Linked DNA regions of Oryzias latipes. The protein of the gene in region 1 interacts with the protein of each later gene in a pairwise test. Links are inferred from orthologs where the notes say so. Each region holds a gene or a part of one and is shown in the gene's direction. Other genes may lie near its edges. The genes, in order: plekhf2, hspb7, ube2z, meaf6, setbp1 and frmd8.

The links.
Region 2: the proteins of plekhf2 (region 1) and hspb7 interact in binary tests that used the Homo sapiens proteins (3 or more experiments, as listed by UniProt). The two-hybrid records come from large-scale screens. The link is inferred for Oryzias latipes from reciprocal best matches to the Homo sapiens genes PLEKHF2 and HSPB7.
Region 3: the proteins of plekhf2 (region 1) and ube2z interact in binary tests that used the Homo sapiens proteins (3 or more experiments, as listed by UniProt). The two-hybrid records come from large-scale screens. The link is inferred for Oryzias latipes from reciprocal best matches to the Homo sapiens genes PLEKHF2 and UBE2Z.
Region 4: the proteins of plekhf2 (region 1) and meaf6 interact in binary tests that used the Homo sapiens proteins (3 or more experiments, as listed by UniProt). The two-hybrid records come from large-scale screens. The link is inferred for Oryzias latipes from reciprocal best matches to the Homo sapiens genes PLEKHF2 and MEAF6.
Region 5: the proteins of plekhf2 (region 1) and setbp1 interact in binary tests that used the Homo sapiens proteins (3 or more experiments, as listed by UniProt). The two-hybrid records come from large-scale screens. The link is inferred for Oryzias latipes from reciprocal best matches to the Homo sapiens genes PLEKHF2 and SETBP1.
Region 6: the proteins of plekhf2 (region 1) and frmd8 interact in binary tests that used the Homo sapiens proteins (3 or more experiments, as listed by UniProt). The two-hybrid records come from large-scale screens. The link is inferred for Oryzias latipes from reciprocal best matches to the Homo sapiens genes PLEKHF2 and FRMD8.

Annotation. Positions count from the first base shown.
Region 1 is NC_019874.2:25,811,256-25,815,268, forward strand, and holds the start of plekhf2 (pleckstrin homology domain-containing family F member 2), read left to right. Parts: upstream 1-1,213; 5' UTR 1,214-1,397; intron 1,398-4,013. UniProt on the Homo sapiens protein: May play a role in early endosome fusion upstream of RAB5, hence regulating receptor trafficking and fluid-phase transport. Enhances cellular sensitivity to TNF-induced apoptosis.
Region 2 is NC_019871.2:18,813,604-18,817,851, forward strand, and holds the start of hspb7 (heat shock protein beta-7), read left to right. Parts: upstream 1-1,448; 5' UTR 1,449-1,602; coding exon 1,603-1,813; intron 1,814-3,469; coding exon 3,470-3,630; intron 3,631-4,248.
Region 3 is NC_019866.2:24,083,111-24,086,610, reverse strand, and holds part of ube2z (ubiquitin-conjugating enzyme E2 Z), read left to right. Parts: intron 1-2,606; coding exon 2,607-2,794; intron 2,795-3,041; coding exon 3,042-3,153; intron 3,154-3,500. UniProt on the Homo sapiens protein: Catalyzes the covalent attachment of ubiquitin to other proteins. Specific substrate for UBA6, not charged with ubiquitin by UBE1. May be involved in apoptosis regulation.
Region 4 is NC_019869.2:19,900,512-19,904,438, forward strand, and holds the start of meaf6 (chromatin modification-related protein MEAF6), read left to right. Parts: upstream 1-1,127; 5' UTR 1,128-1,271; coding exon 1,272-1,361; intron 1,362-2,562; coding exon 2,563-2,678; intron 2,679-2,765; coding exon 2,766-2,853; intron 2,854-2,929; coding exon 2,930-2,975; intron 2,976-3,060; coding exon 3,061-3,250; intron 3,251-3,927.
Region 5 is NC_019867.2:13,776,626-13,780,557, reverse strand, and holds the start of setbp1 (SET-binding protein), read left to right. Parts: upstream 1-1,132; 5' UTR 1,133-1,878; intron 1,879-3,932.
Region 6 is NC_019872.2:19,800,982-19,805,004, reverse strand, and holds the start of frmd8 (FERM domain-containing protein 8), read left to right. Parts: upstream 1-1,223; 5' UTR 1,224-1,389; intron 1,390-2,770; 5' UTR 2,771-2,777; coding exon 2,778-2,868; intron 2,869-2,995; coding exon 2,996-3,163; intron 3,164-3,241; coding exon 3,242-3,343; intron 3,344-4,023. UniProt on the Homo sapiens protein: Promotes the cell surface stability of iRhom1/RHBDF1 and iRhom2/RHBDF2 and prevents their degradation via the endolysosomal pathway. By acting on iRhoms, involved in ADAM17-mediated shedding of TNF, amphiregulin/AREG, HBEGF and TGFA from the cell surface.

The DNA of each region.
Region 1 (4,013 bases):
CATTCTTAAAGTTTCTATGATCTATTTCACAAAACTGGAGGTACTTCTTAAATAAACCTCAAGAAGTTATAATAAAATAATTAATACTCCTTTGTATTAAATTGCACAAAGTTAGCTTGACAGAGTTTTTAAAAAAATCCTGATTTATGACTGACTGCAAATGTTCTCTGTTTAAAAAAAACAAAAAAATTAATTGTGTCAAATGTTGGTGAAAGCTTTTCAACTTTCTCTTCCACAAAGTTGGAAGCGCCTTGTTACCTGGAAAGGCCAAGCATGTCCTGTCCTGTTTATGGTCTGAATCATGAACTGGCACCTCATTTCTCTTCCCCGAGTTTGGCTACTGGCCCAGCTCGTGGTGCCTTCATGGTACATCAGAAAACCTCTCCTCAAAAAAGGTTGTTGGGGCAAAACAAGTTTTTGTTTGAATTTGTTACTTTTAAAAGGACTTCCAGCTGTGTTGAAACGTTTCTGTATGAGTTTAAGTTCTGTTTATTTTTTTAACTTTTTGCAGAAAGTTAAACTTCAGAGGCAAGGCTCTAGAGAATAGCTTGAACTATTTTTTGTTAAAATAGCATGTCTAAAGAAACGAAAATGAATAAATAAATTATTAATAGAGAATTAAGTAAATAGATAAATAAATGAAGTCACTTGTTTTGGATGAAAGAGTGGCTGACACCGAATGTGGGAACTGACGACTGAAGCATTTTATTTGAGTTTCTCTTTTAAATTACCTCAAAACAGGATATCATTGTTGTAGCTCCATGATGGGGAATTTGGCTATAACTCAAATGACTGAAGAGGTTTCCAAACTGAATATAAAGGGCGGAACAAGAAGCCTTTTTTTTATTATTGTGGTGTGTTTGTTTGGTGTCAGGATTTTATTTTTATATTTTTGTAGGCACATTGAATCTTTTTTAATGACTTTTCAGTCATTTAAAAAGAAAGATTTTCAAGAAAAACAGAAATGTAAATAAAGCTTGTAAATTTTGCATTTCAAAGAAGGCTTTCATAATCCACCAGTAAATTTGAGTACCAATGACTTTATGCGCACTTTGATTTTATAACCAGTAAAAAGTAGTAATCTTTCAGTGCTGTTTGTAATACTAAATGCACAACATGACAGTTGAGCGTCTGTGAGAGTTGAGTCCTTTGAATGTGTCATGTCAGTGCTCCGTTTTCCCAGCGCTCTGGATTTGAAGCGGAGGTCCGTGAAGGCAGCGCGGTGCTGCCATGTTGTTGTCTAATCCTCGGCCGGGGCAGTTTCCAGCTGCTGTTGCTCCCTCTGAACGCAGCGGCCACTTTCTCTAACGAAGATATCGCTTTTTTGGTCAGGAACTGGAGTACAACCGAGCTGAAAATTACTGAAAGTTTGACTGTATAACACCAGCTGCCATCAGGTATGTAGTTCTTCGAGTTTAAAAGTTGTTACTGTTGGTTTTTTTGGCGATAGGGCTAAAGCCTGGCTGCTTTGGCTCGTGCTACTTTATTCCTTCTTAAGCTAGGAGGTTGCTGGCTCTAAAAACTACTATTTCGTTTTATTTCGGGTACTTTTATCAAACGATATCGCAGATCTTGTTTCGGTAAGGCCTAGTGAGAAAAGTGGAACTATCTTATGGACCAGAACTAACTTTTGATGAATGTTTAGAAGCTAACTTCGTAGCTAGGTGGCTAACTCTCAATTGACATTGACACCAGTTTTCCAACTTGGATGACAATTTTGAATCGGGAAGTCTCGAGAACTTTGTTATAACTTTCATTTGGAGATTTTAAAAGTAAGCAATTGTGTTTTGTTGAGTTTGGAAACCCTTGATAAACTCCAGTTTATAGGAGTTTTATTTCCCTTTGAGGCATTAATTGGAGGGGTGAAGAGAATAATGACTAGTTTCCTGAGCAGTTACAGGTTTAGGAAAGACTCCAGATTACTCCACCCTTCTGAAACCTGTTCACGTGAATCTGGTAGCAGTTAGAGGTCCAGACTTGTTCTCTTGTGCTGTGGTAGAAGTAACTGTTCGATTTCTGCTGCTAGTTGAACTTTCTGTAATGAAAAAGAGAAGTTCAACATCATGTCTTGCATGTGTTAAAGTGCAGAGGTTAAAACTGCACAGAACTTCTCTTTAATTTTTACTTATTCAGCCTTGAATGCTAAAAGCTGTTGACGTGTAATCTGCTTGGCAGGTATTAAGTTGTACATGAACTTTTCTTTTTTCTTTATTTTAAAGTTTCAAATTCCTATCCCCTCACAAGTCAGTACATGCATTGACTACAGTGGCTGACTCCTGAACAAGTTCTGCTTTCTTTGCACAGAGGACTCTTATTTTTTGAGAGAACAATGTAGATGAGAAAATTGGTAATTGCAATATGTGCAAAGCACTTATTTAATTTTTGCTTGCAAATTTTGCAAATGCCACAAATCCAAATAATTCATGAAATTAATGCGTTCAATAATAACTACTGTTGTCCTATAATTTGGCAGCATAATGTTTTTGTTTTTTTAATCTGATAATTAATTAGTAATTAAATCAGCTGTGTTTCAGTGTTTGTACCTTCCCTTCTAATTAACAGGTTTAACCAAAAAAAAAGGTTTTAGTAGAAATAGTTTGTTTCCCTTTTTGTAATCCACCACTGTATATTTTTTAGCAAACTTAATCAAATGGTTGCAAAGTCAAGACACTTGTAAGGCAAAGCTATTTAAAAACATTCATTTTGCAATATGTAAGGGGAGAAGAAAATATGTAAAGTCAGAGGTCACATGTACAGTATTTCTGTGGCTTCTTCATTCTAAATGTAAACATGTAAATGCATGTTGTCATGTTCGAATTTAATGTTGGAAATAGATTGAAAATCACTGGTTTTAAGATTGAACACACAGTTTACTGGAAAAAAAAGCTTGCAGGAAATGGTTTGTGAGATATGATCTTGTTATCTAATGTGTCTATTGCATCTAATCTTTTTTTAGCTCTAAAGGTTGATGCTGCATTTGTTCGTTTCTTTTTTTTATACCTCTGTTTCCGGTATTAGTTGTGAAAAACAAAACCTGAGGCTTTTCTAGACTCAAATTCCATACATGTCAGGAAGCTTAGTGTCAAACCCTGTCCAATTTTTTAAATTTAGAATATTTTTTAACATTTAAAATGTTGTTTTTTTATTACAACGTAATGAAATAGTTGTATTAGAAAAAAATATATAAAACAGAAAAAAAGCTCGATTTAACATTTTAAAAATAAAAAATAAACCTCACAAGAAATGAATGTATCCACAAAAATTCCAATTATTTATGAGTATTTTGTTATTTCAGGCATATTGAGAAAAATTACATGATTAGATTCTGAAAAGACAGAACATTTTTACCTGAATAGGAAAACAAAAGGAAAAATTAGGTTTGGGTTACTATCTACATTTTAAATGATGTGAGTATTAACAAAATATTACTGTTAATATACCTTTACTGCATTAAAAACCAGTTTTAGGAGCCTTACATGTCTCTGGTGTATTTTAACTGTCCTACTATAGTTGAGATAAGGATGTTGGCGTATAAGATTACCACCACCTTTGTCAGTCTAAGGAACTTTCAATTACTAAAATTACTAAGTCACGGAAAAGAACACCTTATGACAGGTTTCCAGTCCTAGATAACTGAAGTTGGTTACATATAGTACAGGTTCTTATGTTATCAGTTATACAATATTACTTATGCTTTTGATTTGAGAGAAGTAATTAAGTTACTTAGTCAAGCCAAGTAATTTTGTCCCCTATTTGTGTTCAAGCCTGAATAGTAAAACTAGTTTTATTAGAGGTGACTAGTATGAAAACTACCTGACGGAACAGCAGACTGTCCGTCTCACTGCTCCCCTCCATTCTGGAAGGACAGGATGTCTGTAGTTTCCTTTGTAATCCAGTGTACTTTCCACCACATAATCCTGCATGTCTCAGTTTATATATAGCTACGGCTTACATTAATAGGGTTGTTACTTCCTTTGTGACACATCAAGCAGATAAGCAAAGATGTTACCTGT
Region 2 (4,248 bases), on another chromosome or scaffold:
CTCACATACAGACAATGCTAAAGTAAAAGTTTTGATACACAACTGAGGCTGATTTGACAATTACCAATTACCCAGTGATGCTCAAAGATGCCAAATGGAGCTTCCCTGATGTTTCTGAGTATTTTCTTGCCTCATTAACACCATCAGCTTTGCATTCAGATGTGGACACCTTCTCCAGAACTGCCATCTGTTAATCATCCAGAGGGAGACTCTGCATGGACTCCAGGGATCATGGTGAGCCACGAGAGAAAAAGCCTTTCCCAGCATCTGTGGTGTAAAGCTGACGGTGAAAACTGCTGAAGAAGACATCTGAGTCTCTGTGGTTCCACTTTTCCTCCAAAGTGAAACATGCTTCTAAGCTTCCTGAGGTTTAATTGGAGCTTTCTGCCTAAGAACCGGGCCAGCTGTTGAACACAAATTAACTCTGTCAAATCAATAAACACAGCTTGACACAAAAAGTGTTTGGAGTTTGATCTTAGATGTGAGGAGCCTCTGCTGTGAATGATGCTGGCAAACTGAAATATTGCTGAATGTCATGTTTCACCTCATACACGAAACCACAGGACTCTGATCTCTTTACTGTTGCTTTGTGACACTGTTTGTAGATGTCTCAACAATCATAACAAAAAATCATTACTGCAATCGTCATAACTCTCATCACAACTATCGTCACTACTGTCTTGTCTGCCTTTCCTGCTTTGTCCAGTGTGCGTTATGGGGTTGCTAGAACTTATTCAAACCACTACAGGCAAGGACACTATGAACAGTTTACCAGACTACTGAGAGGTGGGTGGACACACACACATACTGGTTTTCATGCACTTTTACACAGAAACCTCAAACACACCTTGAAATTCTATTACAAACAGATATATGCAAACAAAAACACACATGCACGCACACATATAGACACAGAAACATATACTACACGTACACTCACACACATGCGCACGCACACACACACGTATACATACACTAACACACACATTTGATTTGAACCTTTTCTCTAGGGAGAGAGTGTTAACTACTACACCACTGTGCTGCCTCCTGAAAACAACCAAAATCATCCAAAAAAATTCAGCCAGAGGATGAATAAAATATATTTTATCAAATATTCACATTTTAATCATGTGAAGTGATCAGTTGATCAAAAAAAAAAGCACTTTGTCTGCATTGCTGGTGACGTTTCAGTTTGGGTGCATGGTCAGGATGACCTGACTGTTGAAGCACTTTTCTATTTCTGTCTGCATCTGTGCACCCCCCTCTATGTTATCTGTAGTGTGTATTTGTGTGTGAGTGTGAATAAGAAGTCTCCACTTACTATCAGTTTGTCCGTTACACTCTTGGCTCTTGTCGTTGGAAAAACAACCATCTAAGGCTAAAAGTATCTTGAGACCCAGAATGGTTCATGCTAAACCCCAGGCTGAAGAATGTGCAGGAATGCATAAAAGCAGCCAGGATGGCAGGAAGAGGTCCAGCCGTAGTCATAATCAGTGTCCTCCAAAGCTCCTTCTCTGTATTTAGAGTCGACTGGGAAAAATCCTGCTACACTTTTTCATCATCACACAAGTTTTATGAGTAAAACGTTTCTGCGATTCAGTTATGTCGTCTGTGTCCTCCTCTTACCGCTCCTCATCTCGCTACAGCACCTCCAGCACCTATCGATCAAGGGGATCACTGAGCGGATCCACAGATTCCCTCGATGTTCTGTTGGAGCCCTTCCTTGATTCTTCTAACTGTTCCAGCTTGTTTGGAGATGACAGCAGCCTGAGCCCCTTGAGCAGGAACAGAAGTTCATCCAGTGAGCATTCAGGTGAGGGAATCATCTAGTTTTACCATTAAGCAGGCTTAAAGTTACTAAAACATCATTGTCATCATTAGTATGTCATGTTTTGCATTTGTGCTAATGAGGACCAGAGAGCAGGTTCCCATTACACCTATTTTATTGCGTTGGTTCTCTGTTTGGTTCAGGGTTGATCTTGAGGTCCCAGTACTGGTTTTAAGTGTTTTGTGGGTCACATTCCTTCTTACAAACTCTCAAATCTTCCAGCAATGGCCTTTTAACTGTTCCTACAGTAAAATCAAAAACCCACAGTGAGGTTTTTTCACCGTAGGTTGTAAAGATGTGCTTCTGCTCTAATAACCTTCCGAGATTTTGAAGATGAGGCCAATTATTAGCTGTCCATGGCTAATTTTATGTTGTATTTTTTAACAATTCTTTTATTCCCACATCATAAGATTTCCTTTCATTTATTCTGATTGTAGTTATTTTGTAATTTACGTCTTGTGTTTTCTGTTTTTACTTTTCAATTCCAACCAAATTCTAGTTTTAGAGAGCAAATGTTTGATTCCAGTTTTCTTATGACAGGTTGTCACTAATGATGGACAGTTTTCACAGTGAGCCGTAGAGGCTCGCTGCTCATGAGACTGCTGATTCTGATGGTTCTCCTTATTAGCCACTCCTTCAAGGTTTTCCATGTCTCCTGGACTGTGTTATATTGAGAGTCAGGAAGTAAATTGTTTGGGGGTTTACATGTAATGGGTGGAAGATGTGTGGTTACTTTTTAAGAAGTAAAACACTTTGTAATGAATTTAGCTGTATGAATAAAGTTTTGATTGATTGATGTTGATCAGTGCACTCCTGAAAATTGGTCCACAAGCACAGTTTAAAGACAGCACAAACATTTAATAAACAACACAAAAACTTTAAAAATATTTAAAACTCAAGTTAAAATGAAGATGTAAAGTATGAATGTAATGTATTTTATTTAAAGAAAAAAAAATCTTTTACATTGTGCATATTTCAATCAGTCAACTACTTAGCACTTTTCATCTACAAGCTGTTGAGCACAAGGTGCTTGACAGAGGAATATATGTTATTAGTTAAAACAGTAAAAAGTCATAAGACACAATCGATTAAAAGGAACAACATTTAAAGCAAACATAAAAAAGAAAGACAATGAAATGGCTAAAATGTGACGTATTTGACCATAAAGCTTAGTTTAGCATACCACATGTATGTCACACATATGTTCATCAAAGAGATATTAGTGCAAAATTCCAATTCACATGTGGAATAATCACAACAATAATTCTCCTCAGCAGATATGAATAGTAAACTCCCTTGTTCTATCCTAGGCACTTTAACATTGGGAGTTGGGTCATCTAGACCCACTACACAGTGCGCTGAACCTTTTTTCTTCAATGCTTTGAGATCTTCACTGGTGTCCATGGATTACATGAAATCTTTCCACCTTTATCCACCTTTGTCATGGTAGGGAGAACACGTCGATGTAAGGGTCATCCAAGATGGCACAAGGGTTTACATGGATACATGTTTTTTTGTTTTTGTTTTTTTTTACTTCATCTTCTTGTTTTGATGACAGTTTAGGGTTTTCTTAAGCAAGGTTTTTCTACTTTCCATATTCTGGAGCTGACATCCTTCAGTTGTTCTTTTTTGTCTCCACAGCTTCTGCAGGTGGAACTGTGGCAGGACTGCAGACTGGAGCAAGTAGCGGGGTGCGATGTGTTGGTGATACTTACTACATTTCTGCTGATGTCAGCCAGTTTGAGCCACAGGATATTGTAATTATGGCCTACAATCAAAAAATCGTCATTCAAGCCCAAAAGGTGAGTGACGGAAGGAACCCAGGCTGGTTCCATTTCCTGTTCAGGTATACAAAATCTGATTACTTTCTTTCTTTAGGACTAAGTCTTCTTTTGGTTGTTTTCTTTGAAGCTGATTATCCAAATGAGACAAAGACCTTAAGTATCAGATGAATGTAACCTCTGTTTGTCAAGATGTATGTGTATTTATGAGCCTTTTTCATATTGTCCATGTCCATCTCAAAAGAAACAGTAATGGTGCAGACCATCGCACCTTTTTCAGATATAATTTTTGTCTTTCGAAAGAAAACAGGTTATCTTATTTCAGCTATCAGGATTTAAACTAAGATACCATGTTTAATTCTGCAATTCAGTTCTGTCTTTTATATATATATATATATATATATATATATATATATATATATATATATATATATATATATATATATATATGGTAAATGGTAAATGGCGTATACTTATATAGCTCCTTTCTTCCTACAAGGACAAAGCGCTTTACAGTCACAGACCCATTCACCCAGTCACACACACATTCTCACACTGGTGGCGGCTCCGCTGCCAAACACAGGCGCCCGCCTACCACCAGTATATATATATATATATATATATATATATATATATATA
Region 3 (3,500 bases), on another chromosome or scaffold:
CAGTCGGATTTGTGCGTGCGTAATACTTGATTTGTGCGTAAATTAGGATTTGTGTATGGATATTCTTGCTTTGTGCGTTTGTAAATTAGGATTTGTGCATAAATTTGGATTTTTGCGTGATTTGTTACTCACATAATACGTTTTGTGTATAAATTAAAAAAATATAAAATGAAAAAAATACAAAATGCAATTTACGTATGCACAAATTAAGATTACAACAGCTTGAAACTACTTACACACACACATCTTTAAAAAACACGCACGAATCCTTTGTTCCGCACACACGAAGCCAAAGTTACGCACGGATCTACCGTGAGACTGTTTTCACGTCTCACAAATTCGTCCGTAAGTGCTGCGTTTAAATACCAGTGGAATGCTCGGTCACTAGAATTTTCCTATCAGCCTTCCCTTCTAAACGTATTTCCTTCAGTGGGTTTAGCAGGGCTTAAAAAAACTTTAAAGGAAAATAAAAATTATTATCTGAGAATATGACGTTCACTTTTAAACGCTAATATATATATTAAAAGTATATTATTCTCCAAGACACCGAATTGATACAAAATGCGTAACAGGAGCGACCAGTAGGGGGCACTGTTTTTTTTCTTCCGGAAAAATCAAAGGCTGTCAGACTGAGAGAGTCACGGGAAGAATGGCGGCCCATCTCGGTGGTCAGCGCCCCGAAGTAAGTAGCCTCTATTTTCAACACTTACATCTACTGTCTTCATGTATTGATTGAGTCATTGTCTGGATACGTTTAGAAGGGAAGGCTGATAGGAAAATTCTAATGACCGAGCATTCCACTGGTATTTAAACGCAGCACTTACGGACGAATTTGGGAGACGTGAAAACAGTCTCACGGTAGATCCGTGCGTAACTTTGGCTTCGTGTGTGCGGAACAAAGGATTCGTGCGTGTTTTTTAAAGATGTGTGTGTGTGTAAGTAGTTTCAAGCTGTTGTAATCTTAATTTGTGCATACGTAAATTGTATTTTGTATTTTTTTCATTTTATATTTTTTTAACTTATACACAAAACGTATTATGTGAGTAACAAATCACGCACAAATCCAAATTTATGCACAAATCCTAATTTACGCACGCACAAAGCAAGAATATCCATACACAAATCCTAATTTACGCACAAATCAAGTATTACGCACGCACAAATCCGACTGAGTCTAATTTCTCTCCATAGAGCAAGACCCCAATCAGAGCGAACGCAGCTGGAAATTTAGTACTGAACTGACTGAAAGCTGCCCTACAGACTACAAAACAATGCATTATGGGACATGTGTCCTGATGGGTTTTTGTAGTTCACTGATCAATTAAAATAATTTAAAATACCAACTGATTAAAAAAAGGCTACATCCATTACAAAACATTAAAATAATTATAAAAGATGTAATATCACAGATCATACTTAGGGGGAGAGGCATATTAAAACTAAATTGAACGTTACGGACTACAACTTCCTGTTCTCCTTCAGTCTCGCTTTAGCTTCGCCTTCATGCCCCCCCCCCCCCCCCCCCCCAGGGCGCTGGTTCATCTTAGACACGTCTATCGTTGCATTTTCCCCATGTGTTTTAAATGTGACTAAGACTAAATCGTGTTGTTGCTCACACGTGTTTAATGCTAGAGCCCCGTTAGCTGTCACGCATGTAGGTGTGGGACATTTATTCCCCTCAGCTGACCCGACTCCCGCGGGAGCGGTGTGCTGCCGTTACAGCCGTGCATGAGAACCGCGGTTTGCTTCGTGAGTTTGAGACCCCTGCTGTAGACTTTGGCCCTGGTACACCAGCCGCAGGTCGGAAGAACGAATCAATAGTTCGCTTATTCATAGCTCAGACGCACATATCAGGTTGTGATGATATTTGTCTCCGTTTCCTTCCCACAGATGTTTACGCGCGCTCGATTATCTCTAGGCCCCTCCCCCTCCACGCATTTAGCCACTTACAGTGACTTTCCCTATTGGTCCATTATTTTTATTTTTTGTATTTTTATAGTCCAGTTGGTTTTGAGCAGATGTTTGAAAAGTGAACTTTGTAAATGTCAACAGTTTGGCTCAAACCTGCGTTGCTTAGCAGCGGAGCCGCCACCAGTGTGTGAATGTGTGTGTGACTGTGTGTGTGACTGTGTGTGTGACTGGGTGAATGGGTCTGTGACTGTAAAGCGCTTTGTCCTTGTAGGAAGAAAGGCGCTATATAAGTATAAGCCATTTATTCTTCTCACACGCAGTGGCCGCCTCACAGACGGGCATCACTCAATGAAACGCGAGAGTGTGCTCGTGTGTCTCATGAGTATGTGTGCGAGTGTGTGTCTGTCTGCGTGCGTGTGCGCTCGCGTCTCATTGATTATTTCATTGCTCATTTCATTGATCATTGACTTGCCCCTTCCATGTTTAATGTATAAAAAATACGGAGGGTGGGGGAGGCAAATTTACTGGTAGCACATGTGTGACTGGATGTAAAATTCAAATTTTGGTCGCAAAAATGTCTGGAGCCCTGGTTCGTCTCTAACCGCCGGGTTTCTGTCGCGGGTTTTGTCTGTAGAGGATGAATGTCGCTGCAGCAGAGAGATGCTCAGCAGAGATTTGGAACGATGTCTCCTCAGATCCACGCGCTGATTACAGGACCGTTCGATACGCCGTACGAGGGCGGCTTCTTCCTCTTCCTGTTCCGCTGCCCCCCAGACTACCCCATCCACCCCCCGCGGGTGAAGCTCATCACCACTGGACACAACACTGTTCGCTTTAACCCCAACTTTTACCGCAACGGCAAGGTGTGCCTCAGCATCCTGGGGTAAGTCCTCTTTCTGCTACGTTACAGTCAGACATGCAGCACAGACTCAAACTTCCACCCAAGTCGGATTTTTACTAACCAAATCCATGAACGTTTTTTTCCAGTTTGGTGTTAAGGTTGGGAAAATGTAGTTTTAGCAGAAATGCAGAAGACGAGCGGGACCCGCCTCACTACTGTGAGGGCGAACCAAAACTAAATCTGTTCTAACCGTGTCTGTGTGTATGGGTGTGTGTGTGTGTGTGTGTAGGACTTGGACCGGTCCAGCTTGGAGTCCTGCCCAGAGCATCTCGTCTGTCCTCATTTCCATCCAGTCTCTGATGACGGAGAACCCGTACCACAACGAACCTGGGTTTGAGCAGGTAAAGCTCCCCGCCGCCGCCAACTCCAAAGTTCTGTATCGCCTCATCATCAGAAATGTCGCGATGAACATAATCAGACAGCCAGTGGGGGGCGTGGTTGAGTGAGTTCAAATTCAGGAAGGCACAAGTCACGTGATCACGTGATTCTGTGCAGTGGTTGTGAAACTGTGTCAAACCTTCTGGTAAAATTCAGGGTCTAAACTCAAGTGCAGCTCTAGTGAGTCTGGTTTCTGTTGCTGCTGCATCAAATCAAAAACCTGAAGACACGACAGTAAATCCACTGTTCAGTCATTAACGCTGTCTGAACTCTAAATAATTATCTAACAAGGGGATTTAAAACTCAAATG
Region 4 (3,927 bases), on another chromosome or scaffold:
TTGCCATTGAGCTGGCTTCTCAGGACTTGCCTTACTTGTATGAGGTATTTAGCTGTTGCAGCTTTCCTTGTTGCCTGCTCCAGGTTGCCATTTGCCTGCGGAATTCCAAGGTACTTGTAACTTTCCTCAATGTCTTCCATTGTTCCTTCTGGGAGTGGGACCCCTTCTGTGTGGACTACTTTGCCTCTCTTTGTCACCATCCGGCTACATTTCTCGAGCCCGAATGACATCCCAATGTCAGTACTGTAGATCCTGGTGGTGTGGATCAGGGAGTCAATGTCACGCTCGCTCTTAGCATATAGCTTGATGTCATCCATGTAGAGGAGGTGACTGATGTTGGCCCCATTTCTGAGTCGGTATCCATAGCCAGTCTTGTTGATTATTTGGCTGAGGGGGTTCAGACCTATGCAGAACAGCTGTGGGGACAGAGCATCACCATGGTATATCCAAAATTTGATGGACACTTGTGCAAGTGGCTTCCCATTGGCTTCATTTCCTATGAAGAGTCCTTTTGATGTTGTACAGCTCCAAGCATTCAGTGATCCACGTGTGTGGCATTGAGTCATAGGCCTTCTTGTAATCAATCCAGGCTGTGCACAGGTTGGTGTGTCGTGACCTGCAGTCTTGAGTGACTGTTCTGTCAACCAGGAGTTGGTGTTTGGCTCCTCTGAAGACTCTACCAATGCCCTTCTGTGTGTTTGCTCATGTATTGATCCATGTGCCTATTTATCTTGGTTACAATGATGCCAGACATGAGCTTCCATGTTGTGGATAGACAGGTTATTGGGCAATAGTTGGTTGGGACTGCACCCTTTGAGGGATCCGTCTAGATCAGGATCGTTTGCCCTTCCGTTAGCCATTCGGGTGAGTCCCATGAGCAGCTGGTTCATTTGTGCTGGCAGACGCTCGTGGAGTGCGGTGAGCTTCTTTAGTCAGTAGGCATGTAACATGTCAGGGCCCGGTGCTGTGCAGTTTTTCATACCTGAGACTCTTTCTTGTATGTCTGCCACTGTGATGGTTACTGGATTCTGTTCAGGGAGGTTGCTATTTTCTTTTGTCAGAGAGACCAGCCACTGGGCATTACTGTTATGTACTGTCTCTTTCTTCCATTTACCTTTCCAGAACTCAGTTCAAGTATAAAACAAGGTAGGAAGAGGGTCCTTTCACAACGCTTGGGCGCCACCTTGCGGTCTTATCTTTGTCGGCACCAACGCGTCTCCAGTTTTCCTGAGCGCGCGCGCCTCCTCCCGTCGGTTCCGGAACGAGCCATCATGTCGATGCACGCGAAGGCGACCCCGCCGCAAATCCCGGACACGCGTCGGGAGCTGGCGGAGCTGGTGAAGAGGAAACAGGAGCTCGCCGTGAGTCCGCAGTTCTGTTTCAGCGGGTTAAATGTTTTTTTTCGGAACCCGGGTTTAGCGCGCCAAGCTGAGATACCCGAGCATTAGCTTATGCTAGCTGAGCTAGCAGGCCGCAAAACCTTTATTGTGAATTGTCCTAACTAAGCATCGACCAAGAACAAAAACACTTTATCCTCACATCGAAAAAAACATTTAAAGTTTGTGTTTCTGCGTTTCATGTTTGAATGTTTTATTTTTTCACGTTTTTTGACGAACAAAATCCAAATTAGTTTACAGACCTGAAGCACGAACAGTGTGTTCTCGCGATACCTTACGTTTTGAAACTCTTTATTGTTCAACACCGTTGTTTACAGAGTGGAACCTACTAAGATTTAGTAGTGAAAAACCAAGTTACAATCGCGTTACATTTCTGTCATAGGTTATTTTTCTTATCTTTTTGCGACTTTTACTGTTTTCATCTCTAGTTGTGCTTCTAGTAATACTCTAAGTAATGGAAAATGACCTTTATTGTAAAGTACTAGTGCGTCACTTAAAATTACTTTTTTTGTCTAACATAAAACGTTTAACAACAAATTTGCTTAATTACCCAGTACTGTAGTAGTAGTTTTTTTGGTTTACATACTCGTTTGGTTTACATACTCGTTTTTTAACATGTTGTTATTGTTTGGACGACTACTCTTTAACTTTTGCCTCCTTAACATTATTTAAAATAATGTTTTGCTTGTACTTGAAAGATGTTTCCCGTCAATTTATTGACCTTTATTGACAATAACAAGCGTCAAATTCAATTAAAAAGTCTCAAAATGGAATTTTTCTTGAATTTAGTTGGAATGTATAAATGCATGTATCCATCATCTACCACTTCAAAGATAGAAAATGTTTTTCTAGTTGTATACTGACTCTGCAGTCTTGTGGATTTCTATAAACATTGAATTTAGTTCATAAATTGGAAAATTAGATGATTGGGTTGATCAACTAGGAAGAGAAAGACCAATTCTGGAGCTGAAAAATTCAAAGTTTACCTCAAGTGGCTAAATAATGAAACAATCTTTACCAGAACCTCAAGAGGATTTTCAAGTTTTTGATGGTAAAAATAAATGAATGAAATAAATTTTAAAAAAGCTATCTTTGTGAAAAGATAAGCACTGATCTTAGCTTGACCAATCAGAACGTCTGCAGTAAAACCGTTTTAACGACACAGGAGACGCTGGTGAACCTGGAGCGGCAGATTTACGCCTTTGAGGGCAGCTACCTGGAGGACACTCAGATGTACGGGAACATCATCCGAGGGTGGGACCGATACCTGACCAACCAGAAGTGAGTGTGAATGCGGCAGACTCCGGTGAGGTTAGATCTTCTGTGCGTTTGCTGATCGGGTCCTTTTCTTTTTCTGCGATCAATCAGGAACTCCAATAGTAAGACTGACCGGAGGAATCGCAAGTTCAAGGAAGCGGAGCGTTTGTTCAGCAAGTCCTCTGTCACGTCCGTCGCAGTAAGTACTTCCTGCGCGTGATGCGTTCAGCCATCTCATGTGAAGTTGCTCCTCAGTGGTCTCTTGTGATTGGCAGGCAGTGTGTGCGCTCGGCGGGATCCCGGATCACATGAACGAGAAGCGTGAGTCAAATTTGCCTACTTTCCTGGTGCCTGGGCCTCCTCAGAATGCCGGTTCTGACTTGTTGCCTCCCGGGGGATTCCCCAGGTGAGGCCGGCAGCGGCACAGAGAGCGATGCGTCTCCAGACCTTCAGAACCAGGAGAACGAGCCGAGTCAGGAGGACACGGAGGACGTGGACTCCACGCTGCACGACCTGAAGCCTCAGAAAGCCGCCTCCTCTTCCTCAGGCAGCCATCACGGGAGCTACAAGAAGAGGAAGAACAAGAACAGACACAGGTGAGGTGTGGGCGGGGTTAAAGCTGAGCCGCAGCAGATTCACCAGAACTTTTCTGTTTAAATTTGGAGATTTACAGCTTTAACAAGGCAAACTAATATATTTGTGTTATTAAGATCAAGAGAACAGATTACACTTAATAAAAATTACAATAATTGAACATTTTTACAAAATATGGTGATTTTTTTTTTTTTTTTTTTTTTTTCCGTCTTCTTCTGACTAAAAAAGTTGAAGTAGAAAACGTTCATTTCCTAAAAAAAATGCTCGTGTGATTGCTGAAGCTGGCTACAGATGATGATGATGATGATTAGGGCTGAAACGATTCCTCGAGTTACTCGACTTACTCGATTACAAAATTTCCTCGAGGAAAAAACTCTGCCTCGAAGCCTCGTTACATTCCTATGACGCGCACTATACGCAGGGATTTGATTGTGTCACACGGACCTTTTGAATTTAGTTGGCGCGATGGCGGAGAATAGATCTATAAATAAACGGCAGAAATTGTCTTAAGTGTGGGATCATTACACACTTAATAAAGAAGAGAACAAGGTGCAGTGTCTGTACTGCAAAATAGAGCTGGCATTCCACAACAGCACATCTTCCATGATTCAGCATCTGAACAGAAGACATCTGCGCGACCGCTGGAACCCCGACGCCTTACCCGCGCGTGCCGCCGGCA
Region 5 (3,932 bases), on another chromosome or scaffold:
CCGTCTAGTCCTCTCGTGGAGTTATTTTCATTGATTCAGTTTCAAAAACTTGAATCAATTTTTCTACATTAAAGCATTTCATTCCTTTACATCATGTAGAATTTATGTTCAGTCGTGTTTATCAAGATACTGCTTTTGTCATCTTGGTCCTTACTTGAGCTACTACTACATGATGTTTAACTTGGTTTGTGATGCAGGCTGAAACACCGGGTTCTTGATATAAAGCAACAGCTTTGTTATGATAAAAGTGTGGTTTAGCATACATTTTCTGAATACAAGATCTGCTTTGAAGAGTCAAAAGATAAAAATAAATCAGAACTGCTTTTTGACCTTGTTGACGTTTTAAAAAGGCTTTTCCGTGTTTGGTTTAATTGTTAAAAGCAATCAAGTGCTACCTGTTTTACTCTTATCTCCACATTGCACTTACTTTTGTTTGTTTAAAAATCAGTGTCTATAAGCTTTAATTTCTTTTTTTGTGTGTTTTTTGAAAAATGTATATTATATATTTTGTTGTACAATAAAGAATTGGACTTTGTTTTTATATTTTACAGTTTTTTCTGGATTTAAATGAAACAAAATTGGATATATTTGAACTTCATGATTAATTATAGCAGCTTTTTTGATCTCTAATCTGAGCTTTGGTTTTAAAGCAAAATCTGAGATAACAGGATAATTGGATGCTAAAAGTTCTACATTTGCTTAGTTTTAAAGCACTAGTTATTTGTAAACTAACAATGTTAATAAATGTGGTAAATTAACTGATTTTTTATTTAGGTGAGATGAATCATCAGTTTATTTGTGAACTTTTTAGTCTAAATCAAAGCATTTTCCCATTCCAATAATAATAATTTTTAAAAAGTTCACTCATCTACTTCTTCTATTAATGTGTTTTGTCCACAGGTTTTGCCAACAAGACTGTTTTTATTGTTATTATTTATTCAAAACTTCAGGTATTTTTTTTCCAGATGTTGCATTGAACAGGTGCATTGAACCCACTGGCCGTCCATCCCTCGGGAGAAATCTCTGGAGAAAACAAGTGGGAGGCTGGGAAAATATAGGGACGCGCTGAGTTAGTGTTCCACCAGAAGGGGGCGTTGTTGTCCCTCCTCTTGTCTGCGGTCCGCTCCGCTTCGACGGAGCCCACAGTCTGCTGGGTGAGATCATTACCAGACTCCAGTTCTGAGACCTGACATTCACCGATCGGAAAAGCGGGGAAACGAAGAGAGAGAGAGAGAGAGAAAAAACGAGGGAGGTTCGATTCTGCGCAGCCGAAATCCGAACCTGCAGCCGCGTCCTCTGCTCTCAGTTCGCAGCAAACAAGCGCGGTCTTGTCGCTAAAAAAATTCTTCTGGATTCGGGGTTGTTGTAGTCGGATGCGGGTTGCTTGTTTTGACTGCAGTAACAGTCCTCCTCCTCTTCCTCCTCCTCCTCCCTTACTAGCGGATTTGCAAGGGATCTCAGCTTCCCGAGTAACCAGCGATCCCGCATCGGACACGCACTCTGCACCGCCGCCAGCTCGTCCTCGGAAGCTTCCAAACGTCCCGTTTCTGTGAGCAACTGGACTCAAGTTTCTGATCGGACTTTCTCGTCCTTCTACGTGGCTACCTTGATTCTGTCACCGGATCGGCTGCAAAAAAAAAAAAAAAAAAAAAAAGAGAGACACATTTTTTCTCTGTGTCCAGAGCGCCGTTGACGCCATTTTCCCCGGGGTTTTCTGTCAGAAAGACGCACATATTCTGGCTGCGTTTGACAGCTCCCCGGGAGGCTGTCATCCCATCCGCCGCTTGTGTGAAAATGTGCCTCGGATAAATGGATTGTAAATGATCTTGATAAAATATTCACACGTTCAAGCCGGCTGCGCGTCAACGTTAGACATGGGTAAGTGGCTGACCGCCTTTTGCGCACCTGAACGCACCTCTGCTGTAAATGTGTTTGTGTTCCTGTTCCGTTTTTCATAAATTTGTTCCCCCCTTCCCCCCAACCCCATTACATGCAGCTTTAATATTTCAGTGAATATAAAGAAATTTTTGTTGCCACATGCAGACAAGATCCACGGAGCGCACGCACTGGTGAAGTTAACGCGCAGATTCACGCACGTACACAGCTCAAACCAGGCTGTCACTCAGTGACAGCAGGCATTAGTGTTCATTTTTGTGATACATTTTATTTATAATGAAGCATGTGAGGACCCCCACCCCACCCCCCGCCCCCATCTTTAGTGAATTTGATGTTTCTTCCACATGGTAACACACTTTGTGGCACGAGCCAGCAGATGGATGCTGCATACTTTTTCTCTGTGATAAAATGCCACAAAAAGTCCACAAAAAGCTTCTTATTTTTACATTTTTATTTCATTTTAATTTTTATGTGTTTGGATCCTGATTTCAACCACAGCACAGGTTCCACTCCTGATGATCAAAGCTGGTGCTGCTTCATGTGGTTTTTCTGTCAGTTTTGAAGAAAAAAAGACTTGATCTCCTTTTAGCTTTCTCAGAGGTTTGAAAGTCAGTGGTTTATCAGTTGCTTTTAAAAAACAAAACTCCCCAGTTGCAGCTCCAGAAGATAAATTGACAACCCGGATTGAGTCAAGCAAAATATGGTGGGATCTGTCACTGGTGTGGGAGGGAAGTTGTTGAAATAAGTGCTGACGGATGAAAGGGCACAAGCAGAGAGGCAGGTGGAAAGAGCTGAAGCAGACATGGATGGAGGTGATCCTCTCTTTTTTGTGGTACACTAAGAGCAAACAGGTTTATTGTGGTCTGTTAGGTAATGAGATGTTCATGCCACCTTTAAATGAAAGCATGAGAAATCGATTAGGTGTATCCCAAGTCTTAGATGGATAACTTGGGTCGAAACAGGATCAGAGGAGGCAAAGTGTGTGTGTGTGTGTGTCGGGGTGGGGGGATGTGAGCAGGATTCAAGGACAAATCAAACTTGGCAGCCGCTCTTAACGGAATATCAGCACTGGAGCACCTTTTGGCAGAGCACACAGAACGAGAGCGGGAGGGAGGGTAAAGGAAAGTGGTAGCACAGAGAAGAGGGGAGAGAACAGAGGCTGGGGAGGGTGGGGGGTGGTGGAGGTGGTGGGGAAGGAGGAAGACAGTTGGGGAGTAGGGGAGGTGTTTTTGCTGACAGCCATTTTGTGGCTTCTGCTGCAGTTAAAATGGTTTAACATTCATCTGCTTGTACGAGGTAGTTAGGTGAGGATGGTTTTAGTGCTACCTGGCATGCGACTTCTCCAGATGATGTGTGTGTGTGTGTGCGTCCATCCTTCATGAAGCAGCTCTGAGGCCATCCTTTTCAGTGATAGCTCTGTGTTTTATAGACCTTCCAGCTGCCCTGTAGCAGAAGACAACACAGGTAGTAACACACAGGGAAAAAAAAGCTAAATCCATGATTTGGTCCTCTGGGTAACTTGGTTTCTGTGAGTGCCCTTCTATAAGAGAAAACTAAAAGTGGAAAAACATCACCTTCTGCAAACAGTCCACCAGTTCTGCAAATGTGTGTGCATGCATCTGTCTGCATGTGTGTACGAGCTATTTGTGAGTCCACCTCAGGCACTGGGGCTGCTGGGTATGCAGCCTTAAATGGTTGTGTTTCTGCTGCCATCCCTTGCTCTCCCCTTGTGTGCATTTCTCAATTGTCTGTCTGCATCATCTCCAAGCCCGTATCCCAGTATCCACGCTCTCTCATAATCGCGTGTTGGCAAAATGTTGCCGGGAACGTCCTCACGTGCAACGTGGGGAATGACCTTATGCTGTTTGAGTGCAGCACGAGCAGCATAATAAAGGTATTTATGTCATGCATCTGGCCTCTCACAGTCAGCCTGCTGTCTGAGGCTGGTCAAGGTGTGTGTGTTTGTGAGGAGACGCTGAGGCTCAGGTTGAGGAGGTGAGGGAGGCCCAAGGAAGGGTCAGCCATACATAAACCAG
Region 6 (4,023 bases), on another chromosome or scaffold:
ATTGTAAAATGGAAGTTACACTTTTTTTGTTTGATTGCAAGAGACTGGACAAGATTTACACTTTTATTCATATTGTAATTTGTTGACAGACCATGTCATACCAACATAGAAATAACCCACTGCAAACAGTAACACAAAGGGAAAAAAAAGATAGGACAATATTCTGTCCAACAGTACAGGCAGTGCAGTAGGAATTGGTGTGGTCTTCCTACACCTCTTGTCGTTCCTGTATGTTAGGCCACAAATTCTCATCCACATCACAGCGAATGTCCCCTCTTGCAATGCAGCGAAATATGTTTGTCACATTATGACAACTTGGTCAACCATTTTGCAGTTAATGACTTATACGATGAACTAATGACTAGGTGTTTTGAGGAGTAAGACTATTGCACAGTGAACTATATAATTCATTTTGATCAACATGACATAAACAATTGATAATGTAGCAAAGAGCAGAGGATTGTACATAATCATTTGCATGGATGTACCAAAGCAATTGCAACTTATTCAAAGAAGTGAGAAACTGCTTATATGATGTGCACAAGTGACATCATGATGTGAAGATTGGACAAATAGTTTTGGGAATTTCCTTATGATCTGAAAATTGTACTAAAGCGACTGAGAAAAACTGTAACAAGTGGTACTGTTAATATGAAATATTTTATTTAAAATATTCATTGGCCTTTTCATTTTGAATAGACATATATGAAAGGAAAAAAAACATTGGCAGAGTAATCTGAGGTTGTGTTCGAAAAATCACTTCACATCTGATTTAAGAAAAATGAATTACCGGTAATTTATTTAAGGAATTAGACGCAACTCTGCAATCCTGTAAGAGAAAAAAACAAAGCAATACAAATGAACATATGCTATTAACACTATTGACACTATATGTGGAAAAATTGGTAGAAACGCGCTATACAAGTATATGACATTTAAGCCATATAATATTTACATATCTATGAAAGAAAACAGCCTGATATTTCCTAATCTCTAAGATGATAGGCAGAGAGCAGCAGGTTTGATCACGTGACAAACAGAGGACGCATGCTCAGTAATATTTCATATTTCATGTGTGTAGTTTCCCGCCCTGTCGCTGTGAAACATGTTCTCATGTCGAAACCTTGTCACTGGTTGAAGAACCTCTTTTTATTGGCTGTTGGGTCTTTTGGGGGCGGGACATATAAAAAAAACTAACCAATCAATCTGCGGTTGCGTTTTGACACTGGCAGTTACCCGGAAAGCTAGGTTAAGTTAGCTAGTGGTGTCTAGCCAGGTGAATTGAAGTGAACTGCTGATGAACCGATGAATTTAGCAGTCTTTCCAAAGTTAGCCAGACCTTTTTGCTTCATATTCAACGAGCGGAAGACGAGCTACAGTGAAATAAAAGTAGGTCATTGTTTCCCTTTCATGTATAATTTCTTAAGATTTGTATTTAAGCAGTCTCTAAAACGAGCGAGGCTTCAATTAACACGACTTTTATAAAATATTATGGACTTATAGGTTCCGCTTAACAGTCGAAGACATCAGCGTCGTGTTTCTCGTCATATTCGTTGAGTTTTTCTTAAGCAAATCGTTTGCTCACACAACACAGTAGAAAAAAAATGTCACGGCGGGTCGCTCCTATTTACCGACCATTGTTTGGTCACGGTGTCTGCAGTTTAACACAAGCCTAATAAAGTCGGTAAACTAGTAGACGGTGTCAGTTTTCAGTTTGTGTTTCATTATGTCAATGTTATATACGGATTGAATGACGGATGTTTGGGTTTTGGGGACTATTGGTCAACAGTCGCCAGAAGTGTTGAAATTCTTTAGGAGTCTGCTCTGTTGGAAACCACACGGTGGCGCTAACCTTCATCGACTATTGGCAACAATCTCCTTTCTGTAAACACGACTGGAAAAAAAACAAAAGGAAAGTGAAGATCTTTTAGTTTCTGAGCACGCGCGTTTTTAGGCAATGCAGGCTGTGACCTACACAAATCTTTGCAGAGCTTATCTATAACATTCAAAAAGTCAAATTTTAACAAAGATAAAAACTAATTATTTGGTCATTTTCTTATGTTGAACAGTTCAGGATTTATTCCTGCAACAATTAAACTCAGTAAGTCCCACACCGATCATCTCTTGATCTATTCTAAAAGAGTTCCCAGTGGTCTTTTAATTATGATCATGCTGTTTATAAGCTGTTACGTTTTCTATGACAGTTTCTGCAGGGCGGCAGAAGTTTATCAGAAATTTCCCTTTGAGTTGTGGGCGGGACTGTTGGCTCGGAGTAAGCCACTCCTCATTTCCCATCATCTCTTTGTTTACACTCTCTTCTGCTAGCCCCAACTCAACCGAGCAATGAAAATGGGGAGCAATATTAGAACTATCCAGCCATACAGTTCTGAGCCAAATGTCAGCTCAGACGAGGAAAGTGAGGTCGTACGTCGTCTACACATGGATGTATCAGAATGGAGCTGAGCGGGAGCTTGTGGCCTGCCAACTGTTGGACCTACATAACAAATCCAGTCTTCTTTAAACTGCATATTTTTCATCTGCTCAAATTCAGAACAATTTAAATGAAGAAATACTCAGAAATTCACTTTTAATCTTAATTTTCTTAATATGTCCTCCATCATAAAAACGCTGAAAACACACTTTTCATTGGAGTGGGTCTTTAAACGGGCACGTGCAGAGAGTCAAGTTTTTTTGTGTTGACCTTAATCACAGTTTTTCCTTTATGTCACACGTCTGGACTCACTTGTATGCTTGTTTTTTTGGGTTTCAGATAAGACATGGAGGGAGATAGTGGCAGTTTTCTTCCAGATCTGTCAGAGGATCTTTCACAAAGAGGAAGTGTTGCTTCCTCTGCAACTCTTTCCCGTGGTACGGTTCTACAAACTCCTCATGGACACTCTTACTACTTTCTCCACACATTTTGATGCAGTAATCAAATTGAATCGGTTTCTGTGTAAAAATGCCTCTTTTTCTAATATCCCCCCCCCCCCCCCAGTTCAGGAACTGCTTGTGTACTTGTGTGGCGACAACGCAGTGCACTTGTCTTTGGAGTCTCTCAGCAGTGTGACAGTGCAGGAATTGGGCCGCAGTGTTCGTGAGGCTCTCCAAATTCCTGAGTCTTTACATGATGCGTTTGCCTTTTGGCTTTGCTCCCCATTGCTTGGTACGTTTTTTTTTTGCTCTTAACCTAATGTACACTTAAAATAATAATGCTCATTGAAGACCATTCACCTTTCTTCAGAACTGCAGTTAAAAGCGAGGCATCAGCCTTATAAACTGTGTCGGCAGTGGCAGGACTTGCTGTATCGCTTCACTGAGGCATCGGAGGACGACATTGCACAAGGTAGGACCTGGACACAGTTTGATTCTGTCTCCAGCCAAAGAGGTTTCCGTTGTTAATGTTTCTCTGTGGTCCAGTTTATTTTCCTAAAAAGAAACTGCCATGTTTTCTTATGAAACCGGGACCATCAAAGCCTGTAAACATTATGATGTGATGTTCTATAAAGATAAATAGTTCTATACAGATTTTGACATTATTTATTAAACTCCAACGTTTTTTGCTTCGCAGTCTGCTCATCTGTACATGCCAAACAAAGCTGGTTTCTTCTGCTGCAGATGTTTTATGTGTTTTAGTGGTCCCTCATTTATCACGGAAGTTACGTTCCAAACATAACCTGCCATAGGTGAAATCTGCAAAGGAGGATTATAGATGCTTTAAAGGCTGTAAAACTACTCACTTCATGCACTTTTCTCAGACTGACATGAACATTTTCACACTTTTCTCTCGTTTAAACTTTTAAAGTTCAAACCTTCATAGAAAAATGAGTCCACTTTTACAGAATTAAAAACAAAGATCTGCTCAAGAGGAATGATTCATGTGAATCTGCCGAACAGGAGACACGGCATAGAGGACATTGACAACGTCAACAGGCAATCAGGACAGTGTTAAAAAAAAAATGTAAAAATGAACTGAAAATAATGTTCAAAAACAGCGAGATCACAAAAGGTAAACCGTGATATAAC